Callithrix jacchus: one gene and its partners. The protein of the gene in region 1 purifies or fractionates together with the protein of each later gene. This does not show direct contact. Links are inferred from orthologs where the notes say so. Each region holds a gene or a part of one and is shown in the gene's direction. Other genes may lie near its edges. The genes, in order: LGALS1, ITGA4 and FN1.

Region 1 (4,276 bases):
GTGATTCCCTGCCTGCCCTTCACGACCCACCTCATTCACTCATGCAACTAGCTGCCAGCCCCCCACAGCGCTCCCTCATGGCTTCCCTTAGAGCCATCATCATCTACTTCTTAACGCGGTTGTGGTCAGATTCCACCCCAACCATGAGCTCTTTGGAGTGGGGACTGGAAGGGGTTCAGCTTTGAATCCTGAGAGCCCAGGGCCAGGCACATAGTAGGTGTTCAGTGAAATACCTGCTGAACAGATGGGGAAAGGAGGGCTGTGCTGGGCCTCAGAGGAGAGATGTGAAGATAGAGGACAGGGGGGTGGGGTGTGGTGGCTCACACCTGTAGTCCCAGAAGCTTGGGAGGCCAAGGGACGGTGGATCACCTGAGTTCAGGAGTTCGGGACAGCCTGGCTAACATGGTGAAACCCCATCTCTACTAAAAATACAAAAATTAGCCGGGCATGGTGGCTGGGGGCCTGTAGTCCCTGCTCCTTGGGAGGCTGAGGCAGGAGAATCGCTTGAACCTGGGAGACAGAAGTTGCAATGAGCAGAGATCACACCACTGCACTCCAGCCTGGGTGACAGTGTGAGACTTCATCTCAAAAATAAATATATAAATAAATAAAAATAAAAAAGATAGAGGACAGTACACAGAGCTAGGACCCCACCCCCTCCTGGCCTGGACCACCCTGGACCATCTCCCGCGCTTGACACTCTCAGGCCAGAAGCTGTCAGGCCAGGGCGCTTTGACTATCCCTTGCAGGCCCCTGAAGGGAGCCCAGCCCTGCAGCCTCAGGTTTGGCACGCAGCCCAGCCTTTCTTTAGCCTTAGCAAAGCGAACGAGCCGAGCGCTGCAGCAGCCGCAGTGCTTGCTTCCGGGGAAGTTCCGGGTGGGGTCAGGGCCTGTGGTTAAGTCAGAGTGGCCCTCTGCAGACACGCGCGCAGCAGGAGCCACGCCCTGGGCCTGCCTGGGTGCGGCCTGGCCTCCCCCAGCTCTCATTCCCTGAAGCACCCTGCACCTCCTCAGCCATCATCTCTGGGCACCCCCTGAGCCCAGCCTCCTGGCCACAGGCCCCTTCCCGCCAACTCGTGGGCCTAGCTCATCATCAAACTATTTTCCACTGGCTCCCCCCAATCTCTGCCACAGCACAATTTTGGTGGGAGGTGGTGGGGGGAGAGGTGGAGGATGAAGGAGAATAGGAGGTGGAGCTTGGACTCCGGCGGGGCCGGGAGCTCGCCACTCTAATTGGTCACCTCTGCTCCAGAACTGGCTTCAAAATTCCATAGACTCCGCCCCCGGTTGCCCCCAGCCCTGTCCTGACTTGCAATTGGCTGAACTTCCAGGGAGGCGGGGCTCACCAGGTCAGGTCCAGTTAAAAGGGTGGGAGCGCCGGAGACCCATCTCTCTCGGGTGGAGCCTTCAGACAGCTGGTGTTCCTGTCCCGCGAACATCCTCCTGCCCTCAATCATGGCTTGTGTGAGTGTTGGGACCCCACCCCAAGGTCCAGGGGATAGGGCAGGGGGCTGATGGCCGGAGGAGAGCTGGGCAGATCGGGAGCTGGGTTTGAGTTCCAGCTGTGTGTCCTGGAAGCAATGGCTTCTCTTTTCTGGACCTCACTGAGGTCCAGAAAATGGGGGTTGGCGCCGTGGTCCCTCAAGCCTTCTCTGCGTTAAGACTTGTCTGGATAGCCGGTCGCGGTGGCTCACGCGTGTAATCCTAGCACTTTGGGAGGCCGAGATGGGTGGATCACCTGAGGTCAGAAGTTCAAGACCAGCCTGGCCATCATGGTGAAATCCCATTAAAAATATATATATATAGTAATAGAAAAAAAAAAAAAAAGAATTGTCTGGATTCCTCCAGGGTCTGAAATCACAGTTATTTTGGCCCAGGGTTGACATTATGCAGCTCTCTGAGAAGTGGGAGTGAGAAGGGTGTGGCCAACTGGGGGACACCCAGGCCACTATCCCTTTCCCCCTCCTCCACCCCGGAGAGCCTCCTGTCCCCTCCCCCTTGCAGCTGTCTCAGGCACCAGGCCAGGGCAGAGAGTCACTCTCTGCTCCAGAGAACGCTGAAAAGTCGCCAGGACCCGAGACAGGCTGCCCAGGATGGGCCTTCCGAGGTCGGGGGTGGAGGGTGGTGTGTCCAGGTTGGTGGGGGGATGGGCGGGGAAATTCCCTACCACCACCCCCGAGCTAGGAGATGGGGATGGCAAGGAGGTGAGATTCTTACTTGGGCCTCAGGGAAAGGGTTCAAGTTTCTGGCAGAAGGAACCACTCACACCAGTTAACTCTTGCCCACCCTCTCCGGGTGCCGGGGAGCAGCAGTGCCAAGCAGCTTGCTCAATCTTGTTAACCCTGAGCCAGCCCACAGGCTATCCTCCCTAATGCAGCCGGGCCACGTTCTTCAGGGTCTCCTCCCTAGCCTCTGGGCCTCTTCGCAGAGAGGGGCTTGAAGGAGAATGGTGGGGTCGCCCCTGGCCACTTCCTCTCCAGCAGAGGGGCAGCCCCCTCCATTCAGTGTGACCGTGGGCAAGTGTCGGCCCCTCCCCAGCCTGATCCTCTCCATCTGCGATGGGACAGAGCACCCCACCTCCCAGGCCACTCTGAGTCCAAAATCCCCAAGCCAATCTGCAAAATCTCCTTGAGCCTGATTCACGTTACAGATTCAAGCCGACCCCGTTGGGAATAGGGACTTTCCCAGGACCACGTAGAGCATCAGAGGCTAGAAATCACAGCCGGATCCCGTCCCCAGGCTGCCCCTTGGCTTGGTCAGAGGACGCAGGGCGGGAACAAGCCCACTGCCACCCCTAGATACTGCGGGACCGTGGAGGCCTTGTCCTCTAACTCGGCTGGGCGGGGGCTTGTCTGTGCAGGGTCTCGAGGCCAGCAACCTGAATCTCAAACCTGGGGAGTGCCTCCGAGTGCGGGGCGAGGTGGCTCCTGACGCCAAGAGGTGAGAGGTGAAGGTGGGGTGGTGGGCGGCAGGGAGGGGGGCTTGGTCCAGCCGGGAGGGTGTGGCCGGCCAAGCCCACGTCTCCTCCCTGGCTGGGAGTGGGTTAACTGCCGGCCGCAGATGCCGCGTTTTCTGGGTGACTCACTTCCCCCGCAGGGTCTGGGCGCCCCCACCATTGCCGCCCCCTCCCCTGCTCCCTTCCTGCTGTAGCCTCTTAAACTAAACCAGCTGTGGCCTCGTCATCTATAATACCTTGGCTCCCCCGCCCCCACCCCTTTACGGGCTGGGCGGGACCTGCTGGGGAGGGCGGGAAGAGGAGTGAGGCTTCCCTCCGAGTCCCTCCTTCCTGCGTCTGCCCATTCATTCACTCGCTCTGTCCTTTGGTCCTTCCTTCACTCCTCGTTCTTTCAGCCGACTACCTTATTTTCTCAGCAGTTATGTGACCTTGGACCAGTCAACCAACCTCACCTAGCCTCAGTTTGTTAGAAAAACAGGGGGGGTTGGCCGGTGCGGTTCCTCACGCCTGTAATCCCAGCACTTTGGGAGGCCAGTGAGGGTGGATCACGAGGACAGCAGATTGAGACCAGCCTGGCCAAAATGATGAAACCCTGTCTCTACTAAAAATACAAAAATTAGCCGGGCGTGGTGGCGAGTGCCTGCAGTCCCAGCTACTTGGTAGTCTGAGGCAGAAGAATCACTTGAACCCAGGAGGCAGAGGTCTCAGTGAGCTGAGATCACACCACTGCCCTCCAGTCTGAGCGACAGAGCGAGACTCCCTCTCAAAAAAAGAAAAAAAGGAAGAAAGACAGTCAAGGAGAAGGTGGCTGTGTGCAGGAAGTGAACAGGGCAGTGGCGATGAGGAGGCTGAGGATCAGCTGATACTGTTCAGAGCCACACACTTCTCCTGCACTCATTTCATTTCAGCCAAACGCTCGGAGGCAGGAATTGCTATTATCACCACGCAACGAATGTACTGTTATTGGTTCCTTAGCCCCATAATTACTAAGTATCCCCTATGTGCCTCACTTGTGCTGGGCACCAGGAATACAGAGATGTAGAGACAGGACACTTAACCTCCCAGAGGTCACCATCTGGAGGCAGTCTCTGACCTTGACCAAAAAGTGTAGGGTGCTAATGACTATGAGAATCTTGGGCCCTCGGCACAGCAGGAGCCCTGGGGAGCCTTCTGTGCAGCCCCCGTTGTACAGATAAGGAAACTGGGGAAGAGGAGCAGGGACTAGCTCAAGCTCACACAGTAAGCAGGTGGCAGGGCCAGAGCTAGAATCCAGGTTTCTTGTCTCCGTTGGTGAGTTCTTCCAGCAAGGTGGGATACTGAG
Region 2 (4,276 bases), on another chromosome or scaffold:
AGAAAATACTTTCTGAAGGTTTGTGTCAGTCCTGCCTTGCTCTTGGTGGAATCCTGTGTGCCTAGCCAAGTGCCTCCTCCGTGAATGTGCTGAATAAATGAATAAGCATTTTAATTATGTATCTGCCACTACAGTGTCAGGTATGTTATTCCAGTATGGTTTTAGCACACAGACACACCCTTGGATGCAGACTTTTCATTTCTTTTCTTTTTACATATAGCAACAATAAAAAACTAGACCTTCATCTCCTGAAAATATCAGTCTAATAATCATCTATGGCTGCCTCTCTGGTTGCTGAAGGGAAAAAAACAAAAGCAGGGCATACCTGGATTGCATTAGAATGAGACACACTACCCAGTTCAGGTGTGTTGGGTCGTGGGCCTCCAGCACATTTCAGAGGCTCATTAGGACCCTGACCCCACAAAGGGGTTTACACTCCCAACAGCAGGTGTGTCCCGTGGCAACCGAGTGGGTTCGTGAAAAGGGGGATCATCAAGAACCAGTTGGAGCAATCCGAATTGGTTAAAGTGAATCAAGTCACAGCGCTTCCTTACCCCAACCTCTCTGTTGGGGTCAGCCACAGTCTAAACCACCTGCCGTTCAGCCGCTCACGCACTCAGCCCGGGCTGCAGAGGAAGTGTGGGGAGGAAGGAAGTGGGCATAGAAGGGTGCCGAGCTGTGGGTCTTGAAGAGAATAACCATAACGTCTTTGTCACTAAAATGTTCCCCAGGGGCCTTCGGCGAGATTTTTGGTTTTTTAAATTTTAATTTGCGACTTTTGATAGTTTCTCCAGTGGTTGCCTGCACTTGAAAACAAGACACAGTGCTTAATTATCGACGAAAGAACTGGACGGCTCCCCGCCGCAGACCCAGTCCCCGAGTTTGTGGCTGGCATTTGGGCCACGCCGGGCTGGCCCCAGAGGCTGGGCGGTCACAGCGAGGGGCGCGCGGTTTGAGACCACACAGCTTCTACCAACTACGGTTAAACGGGGAAGGCCCGTACCCCATCCAGGTCCGTTCCTGCAGAGCCGGGAGCCATCCCTCGCTCTGCGGGCTGGGAGGCCCGGGACGGGGTCGCGCGTCCTGCGCAGCCGAGGTCCCCCAGCGCCCCCTGCAGCCGCGCGTCGGGGGAGACAGAGCCCGGCCCTGCGTCTCCGCACCACGCCCGGGACCCCACCCAGCTGCCCTTTCATGAGAACAAGCGCGAACACCCGTAGCTCCCGGCCGGCGGCAGAAACAGCGTTGGGCCCGGCGGGAGCACTGCATCCCAGGCCGGCCGGGTTGTTCTGCCTGCAGCGGGCCCAATTTCCCCTCCTCTTCCCTCCCTCCCTCCCTCCCTCCTTCCTCTCCTCTCGCCCGCGGGCGCGGGACACGCTGCGCCTCATCTCTTGGGGCGCTCTTCCTTGTTGGCCAATCGTCGCATCCCGTGCAACTTTGGGGCAGTGGCCATTTACTGTTGAATGTTCCTCACCGAGAGCGCATGGCTTGGGAAGCCAGGCTCGGACCCTGCCCTCGAAGGGCCGCTGTCCGGGAGACAGTGATGCTGTTGCTATGCCTGGGGGTCCCGACCGGCCACCCCTACAACGTGGACACTGAGAGCGCGCTGCTTTACCAGGGCCCCCCCAACACGCTGTTCGGCTACTCGGTCGTGCTGCACAGCCACGGGGCGAACCGATGGTGAGTAGAGTCCTAGCGGTGCGCTCTTGGCAGCTCAGAGTGGCGTGAGAGCGGCGCCCCAGGGATTCCCTGCCCTGTTCAAACTTTCCTCCCTCCCAAGGAGGCAGGAGGGAAACGCTGCGAGAGCCAGCTCGCTGGAGATCTGCCAGAGAAAATAACTTATCCTGGGGTGTCAGCGCCCCGGATGCGTTCTGGCGCAAGGTCCTGGAGCTTCGAGTAGAGGGTGGTGGGCGGAGGAGGAGGTGGGGAAGCTGCCCTGCTGCCGACTGCATAGCAATTGCGACGGGAAACTCAATGGGCAGCAGAGCTCACGTCTGAGAGCACGTGCACGTGTCTCGCTTTAGGCTCATAGTGGGTGCGCCCACTGCCAACTGGCTCGCCAACGCTTCAGTGATCCATCCCGGGGCAATTTACAGATGCAAGATCGGGAAGAATCCCGGCCGGACGTGCGAACAGCTCCAGCTGGGTGAGTTGGGTGTGGGACCAGGAGTTAGTGACCTCCCGACCTCCTGTGTGGACCCCATCATGGGGCAAGTCCTGGAAAGATTCAAGTCGCCTGTTACTTGTGGTTTAAAGTGGGTACGTTTTCAGTTTTAACTTCATATCTCATTTTCCCTCCGTAATAAAAAAGAGATTCCCTTCTTTCTGTTAATATCGTTCTCCCTTTTCCTTATAGCAACGATTGCAGTACTCTGACAAAACTAGTCTAGAAAAAAAAATCTTATAATACCTTCTTCTCTTCATTTCTCTCCCTGTCTCGCCATGTGTAAAGCACATTTTAGAGTCTCTCAGCATATTAAGGACAGGATCTAGCTAAGCAAAGACTTGAGAATTTTATTTCCATCTTTGACCTATCAACCTTCTTAAAGAACAGGCTAAGGGGCATAGCGGGAATACCAGTTGGAATAGGTCCCATATCCCGTCGTTTAACCTAAGGGCCTAAAAAAAGTGATACAGGTTTATTTAGAATATGCAGTGTAAAAGAAAATGTAAGGAAAATTGTCATCTCCGTTGTTAATACAGTTAACCTGAAGCTTAACATATAATTTTCCATTCCTCAAACTGTCATCCAAAACTCATGTTAAATGAGTCTTTTTGCAGTCACTTCTTAATGTCTCAGATTTGTGACAAGTTGAAAAGTTGTCCTGTTGGAGGAGGGGAGAAGTTTCATGTTTCAAAGCCAAAGGCAAATTTGTTGCACTCCGGCAAGTGGGGAAAGAAAGAGGAACTGATATTCAATAACAAGACCTATCTTGTTCCAAAGTGTTAGTTACTGCTATACATATTGCTTAATTTTTTTCCCCTCAAAACAACCCTGGGTCATGGTTGACATTGTTCCTGGTTTATGTATGAGGACTGTGGCTCAGAGAGCTGCACATATCTTTTTAAAAGTTAGCTAATGAATGGTAGGTGGGAACTAAAGTCAAAGTCAGGATGGGTCCAAAGTCTAAGCCATTTTCTTCCATGTATGCATCTTCACTGCAAATAAAATTAGATGAACAGTCTAATATGTTGTCTGCTGAGCTGATGGGTCATCTGTAAATGGTGAACAAAATTGGTACTTCTTTATCTTCGGTATAAATAGACTTTGTGATTAGCTAGTTATTGAATCTTTAACTTTTTTTGCATTTCATGATAGTCTTTGCTCTTTTTCAAACTGTGAAGCTGGTTCCCTTCATTCAAATGAATTCAGATATAGTATAAACATAATGGAATTTTAACTTTCAATTCGGAGCACTCATAAAAGTCCACAAGTTTTCTGTTGCATGTAGAATAAACCCTAGCCTCTTGTTAAGCATCCTCAATTTCAAAAATCACAGGAGGAATGCTTAAAACATTCACAGATCCATACATTTGGAATGATTTTGCAAAGCATAATTTTCATTGCATGAGACAGTTGTGGGTGAAGAATTAGGGAGTGGAGCTGACAACCTTAGTCTGCCAGAGGATCTTGGCAAGGTCTCAGGAGGAAACAATTTTATTTCCATTGTCCCGTCATAGTTTCCTGATCCATGACATTATAACTGATATTTAGTGCCTACTTCCTGTCTGGATGGACACTGAATCTATTTCTGGATGTCTGTGTTTAATTAGATAAATCATGTTACAATATAAAATTTAAGATAATGCCTGCCGAAGGAAGGAAAAATTATTTGGGCATGTGTCGTATGGGGCTTGACTGTTCTCAGAGAAATGTGAACAAGGTAGATATGTAATAGACATGAATTAAATGAAGATTTGTTGGATGGATGAATGAATAAAGTGATGTGAAAGTTTATCAACCTGATTGATGAGTAAGATAATTGATTAGAAATGATGAGCTGAACTGATATTTTAATTCTCAAAATTTAGGCTAATCCATAAGGTACTTACTGAGATGAAAAAAAAAAAAGACAAGATTCCTAGTCAATGAGTTAAAACATTAATAGTGATAGTAATAGCCTGAGTATTTGTCGAAGAGTTGACTGAAGTTATTTCTAATAAAATGTTCTAAAGAATACAGATATTTTTTACTCCTTATGTAGAGAAACCATCTCTATTCAAAATAAGTCCAGAGGTAGCTTAAAGCTATAAAATAGGGATATTGAGGCTACAGTCT
Region 3 (4,276 bases), on another chromosome or scaffold:
TTGTGTCTTTAATGTGTCAGGCAATTTATAGAACACAGTGTACTAATTACTCCTATGGCAATTACTGATGGTGAAACTTTTGGAGAAAACAGGTGCCTTTCAGAAATAAATATATTTTATTAGTAGCTTCACGTGTTCTCAAAGCAAATGGAATCTCTGCACTCCTAACACCAGGAGAAGGCAAAGCATTCAGTTTGGGTCTCAGAATTTACTGTGGAAGTGGTGGCCTCCTCCCGAAAATCTTTAAATCCATTGTGCTTGTGTTTGTCTGAAAAATAGGACTGATGGGATGAGTTGCCAAATGCGAGACTTCTCAGGTTCCCTTTCCACTCTGAGTTTAGAGTTAAAGACGGGGGAATCTTAAACGAGAACTTTCCACACTCTTGGAGTCAGTAACAATTGAAATATAAAAAAAATCTGGCGGCGGGGGAGGGAAGGGGCACTCTGTAATGGAACGTGTCAGCAAAAAGAAAATGGCAAATAAACGCAAGAAAGAGGCCAAAGAAGGGCAAGACATGGGATGTCCCCGCCCCACCCGTCTTTTAATGATTCAAACAAAAAAATCTGTGCTTTGTGTGTAACTGGCAGGGAGGACGTGGGCAAGGACACGAAGACCTTTCTCTTCCCACAGCCGTCCAACTTTCCAGTTTTCAGGATGTTCACAGTGATTCTACTTTCAGTGAAAACGGGCGTCCCATCCCAGGAGAGAAAGGCTTTCCTGCATATGTAGAAAAGCAAACTGCTACTTTGTCCTAGCAAAAGAAAACTTTATTCTCTAAACTTCCCAGGACTTGCAAAGCGCCCGGCGGAACTCCCGGTGCTTAGCAGAAGCTCGTTAAAGGTCCCCGTTCCCCTTCGCTCCCCGTCCGCCCGCGGGCGCTTTCTCAGAGCCAGACGGGTACAGCGCTGGGAAGGGGCGAAGTCCGAACACGGAGCTGTGAAGACAAAATAAGGGAGTCCCCAGTCAGTGCCCTTTAGCCCCAAGAAAGGGGGCAGGGTTGGGAGATAGGCGGCCCCGTCCCGGGCCTGCAAAGTCTGGATGTTTTACGGGTTTTCTTCCCACAAAATACACTCCTGTAAGCAGAGATTTCTCCCGCCCCCCCACCAGGGGTGACGCAATGTCCTCAAACACCACCACCACCCCCAATAAAAAAGAAAAGGGAAGGGGGAGAGTCCTGCAACCCCTTCGCTTCACCCAAGTCCAGCCACTCCCTTTCCTCCCAGCCGCTTCCCATCCCTTCCCCCATCCCCTAAAAAGTTTGACGACCGCAAAGGAAACCGAAAAAAAAAAAAGTTGTCTTGCCCCAGTCTTGGCGGGCCATCAGCATCTCTTTTGTTCGCTGCGAACCCACAGGCACCCGTGACGTCACCCGGAGCCCGGGCCAATCGGCGCGCGGTCGGCGGCTGCGGCGGGCGGGGCGGGGGGGAGCCCGGCGGGTCTCTACTCCCCGCGCCCCGGGCCTCTGGCGGGGCGGGGAGGACCGTCCAATATAAGCCCGGGCTCCCGGGGCTCGGCCGCCCGCGCCGGCTGTGCTGCACCGGGGGAGGAGAGGGAACCCCAGGCGCGAGCGGGGAGAGGGGACCTGCAGCCACAACTTCTCTGGTCCTCTCCAGTCGTCCCCTTCCCCACCCTCTGGCCCCCACCTTCTTGGAGGGGTCCACCCCTCGGGAGGCATTGGAAGGGATTTTTCCCGCAGGTTTCGGAGGGACCCAGTCTTGGTGGCCACTCGCCTCCGGGTGAGGGCGTTTTTCCCCCACCGTCTCAACATGCTCAGGGGTCCGGGGCCCGGGCTGCGGCTGCTGCTGGCCGCCCTATGCCTGGGGACAGCAGTGCCCTTCACGGGAGCCTCGAGGAGCCAGAGGCAGGCTCAGCAGATCGTTCAGCCCCCGTCCCCGGTGGCTGTCAGTCAAAGCAAGCGTGAGTACCGACCGCGGGCTGAAACAGGCTGCCGCAGGGCTGGGACTCTGAAGCCGACCAAAGTTGGGGCTGAAGTTTTGTGCGCGAGCGTGTGCGTGAGTGTGTGCGCGCTTTGCTGAGAGAAACCAGCTGTGCACACAAAAGGATGTAGTTTTGAGCAGGCTGGTTCTGAGGGCCTGGGATGATAAGATCCTGCATTGGAGGAGGGCACTCTGCGATCTTCCCGTATTCTGATAAATTCTGCACGTTCAGATGGTCTTTCTAGGAATTAACCAAAACTTGCCTTTAAAGAGAAAAATAATGCGTGCCTACAAATTTTCCGGATGGGATGAGTGTGGTCCTTACTACTACTTATTTGATTTGCTGTTAAATAATGGGTCAAATATTTTCACAATTAGAGTGAAAAGGGGTTATTGAAATAGCTGTCTTGTTTCTAACTAACTTGGAAGAGATGTAATTGGTTCTGAGCTCTTTAGGGCCACTCGGGGTACTTCACTGAGAACAGAGGTTGGAATTCTTTAAGTTTTTCAAAGACACACCCTCCCTTTGCTTGAGAAACCTGATTAAAGTTGTCCTTTTTGACTATTACTCCAAAAGAATATTGAAGTTCCTTGAATCTTTTAAAAATGTGATTTCAATTGTCTGCCTTGAAGGCAGACAATTGAAATCACATTTTTTTTTTTAATGTAGACCACTGGCCAGATGGAAATGACATCATTGTATATAACCTTTAGCAAAGTTAAAAGGAAAAAAATATATACCTAAATATTCACATGAAGAAAATTCCATAATTTGGGGAAAAGGAGGGATGGAAATGTAATAACTTTTTCCTTCAATTATTTGCAGCTGGTTGTTATGACAATGGGAAACACTATCAGATAAACCAACAGTGGGAGCGGACCTACCTGGGCAATGCCTTGGTTTGTACTTGTTATGGAGGAAGCCGAGGTTTTAACTGTGAGAGTAAACCTGAAGGTAAGTGACCACAAGCCCCATAGTTAGTATCTTTTAATAGAAGAAGTGCTCACTGTTAAACTTTGCATTAGTAAGTAAAACTACATACACCTTTTTTCTAATAGAATTACCTCTCATTTCCTCTTAATAAATATTTAAAAACTGCTTATCTTTGCTTTTCACATGGTTTTACCTTTGAAACAAAGAAACAAATCTTTCCCAGATTAGTTCCTAGAGTCTTTTTTTTGCTTTCCTTTCCCAAAGTTTTTGATGAGAAAATGAAATATTTTGTGTGTCCTCCCACAGAAAAAAATGCTTATAAAATTTTAATTTATTAGAAAGCAGTCTCAAATCTTTAACTTTATGAGCCAGAAAACGCTTTGGGCACTGTATTGTAAATTGATTTGTCAGTTGCAGTTAACACAACACCACTAGCCACTTCAAAGTTCTCATTCCTGTATGACCATTGATACCTTTCTTGTAAATTATGGCAACTCTGCCAGAGAAGCATTTATGAAGGGAAAATGGAAATAGTAGGATTAACAAATGTCAATACCTGGTGGGAGGTGGGAATCTTCCATTTTTTTTTTTTTTTTTTTGAGACAGAGTCTCGCTGTGTCACCCAGGCTAGAGTGCAGTGGCGTGATCTCAGCTCACTGCAACCTCCGCCTCTGGGCTTCAAGCATTTCTCCTGTCTCACCCTCCCGAGTAGCTGGGATTACAGGCGCACATCACCACACCTGGCTAATTTTTGTATTTTTAGTAGAGACAGGATTTCACCATATTGGTCAGGCTGGTCTCAAATTCCTGACCTCAGATGATCCACCCACCTGGGCCTCCCAAAGTGCTGGGATTACAGGCATTTGCTTTCTATGTGAACCTTTGTTTGACTTCCTGAGTCAGAGATTGGAATCTGAAACCGTTCACAAATCTAGCTCTGTCATAAGTTAGTACTTGATATGGCCTTTCTCTAAGGGCCTGAGATTTCTTTACAATATGAATAATTTACAGAAAATTTGAGAATTTGTCAAGGTAAAAAAAATGGCCTTATTAGAGCCTAGAGTAAAAAATCGGTTTATCTTACTTCATTTTATACTTGTGGTTGTACCATGCTACTTGTAGAATAGAAAAGCGAGTTATCCATTGGAGGGGATTAGTGAACTAGAAAACCTTGTACCTAAGTGAGGCTCACATGGACTTTCCTTCTCCCCTCAGCCGAAGAGACTTGCTTTGACAAGTACACAGGGAACACTTACCGAGTGGGTGACACTTATGAGCGTCCTAAAGACTCCATGATCTGGGACTGTACCTGCATCGGGGCTGGGCGAGGAAGAATAAGCTGCACTATTGCAAGTAAGGAAGACATTCTTTACAATGATGCCAAAATATCATAAATATGAATTT

What was found.
Region 2: the proteins of LGALS1 (region 1) and ITGA4 purify together in Homo sapiens (affinity purification with mass spectrometry; 3 studies listed by BioGRID and IntAct, with this or other methods). This does not show direct contact. The link is inferred for Callithrix jacchus from reciprocal best matches to the Homo sapiens genes LGALS1 and ITGA4.
Region 3: the proteins of LGALS1 (region 1) and FN1 purify together in Homo sapiens (affinity purification with mass spectrometry; 3 studies listed by BioGRID and IntAct, with this or other methods). This does not show direct contact. The link is inferred for Callithrix jacchus from reciprocal best matches to the Homo sapiens genes LGALS1 and FN1.

Annotation. Positions count from the first base shown.
Region 1 is NC_133502.1:208,676,206-208,680,481, forward strand, and holds the start of LGALS1 (galectin-1), read left to right. Parts: upstream 1-1,388; 5' UTR 1,389-1,454; coding exon 1,455-1,463; intron 1,464-2,859; coding exon 2,860-2,939; intron 2,940-4,276. UniProt on the Homo sapiens protein: Lectin that binds beta-galactoside and a wide array of complex carbohydrates. Plays a role in regulating apoptosis, cell proliferation and cell differentiation. Inhibits CD45 protein phosphatase activity and therefore the dephosphorylation of Lyn kinase.
Region 2 is NC_133507.1:47,611,869-47,616,144, reverse strand, and holds the start of ITGA4 (integrin alpha-4), read left to right. Parts: upstream 1-1,199; 5' UTR 1,200-1,480; coding exon 1,481-1,677; intron 1,678-2,021; coding exon 2,022-2,143; intron 2,144-4,276. UniProt on the Homo sapiens protein: Integrins alpha-4/beta-1 (VLA-4) and alpha-4/beta-7 are receptors for fibronectin. They recognize one or more domains within the alternatively spliced CS-1 and CS-5 regions of fibronectin. They are also receptors for VCAM1.
Region 3 is NC_133507.1:137,243,508-137,247,783, reverse strand, and holds the start of FN1 (fibronectin), read left to right. Parts: upstream 1-1,517; 5' UTR 1,518-1,767; coding exon 1,768-1,918; intron 1,919-2,764; coding exon 2,765-2,893; intron 2,894-4,087; coding exon 4,088-4,225; intron 4,226-4,276. UniProt on the Homo sapiens protein: Fibronectins bind cell surfaces and various compounds including collagen, fibrin, heparin, DNA, and actin. Fibronectins are involved in cell adhesion, cell motility, opsonization, wound healing, and maintenance of cell shape.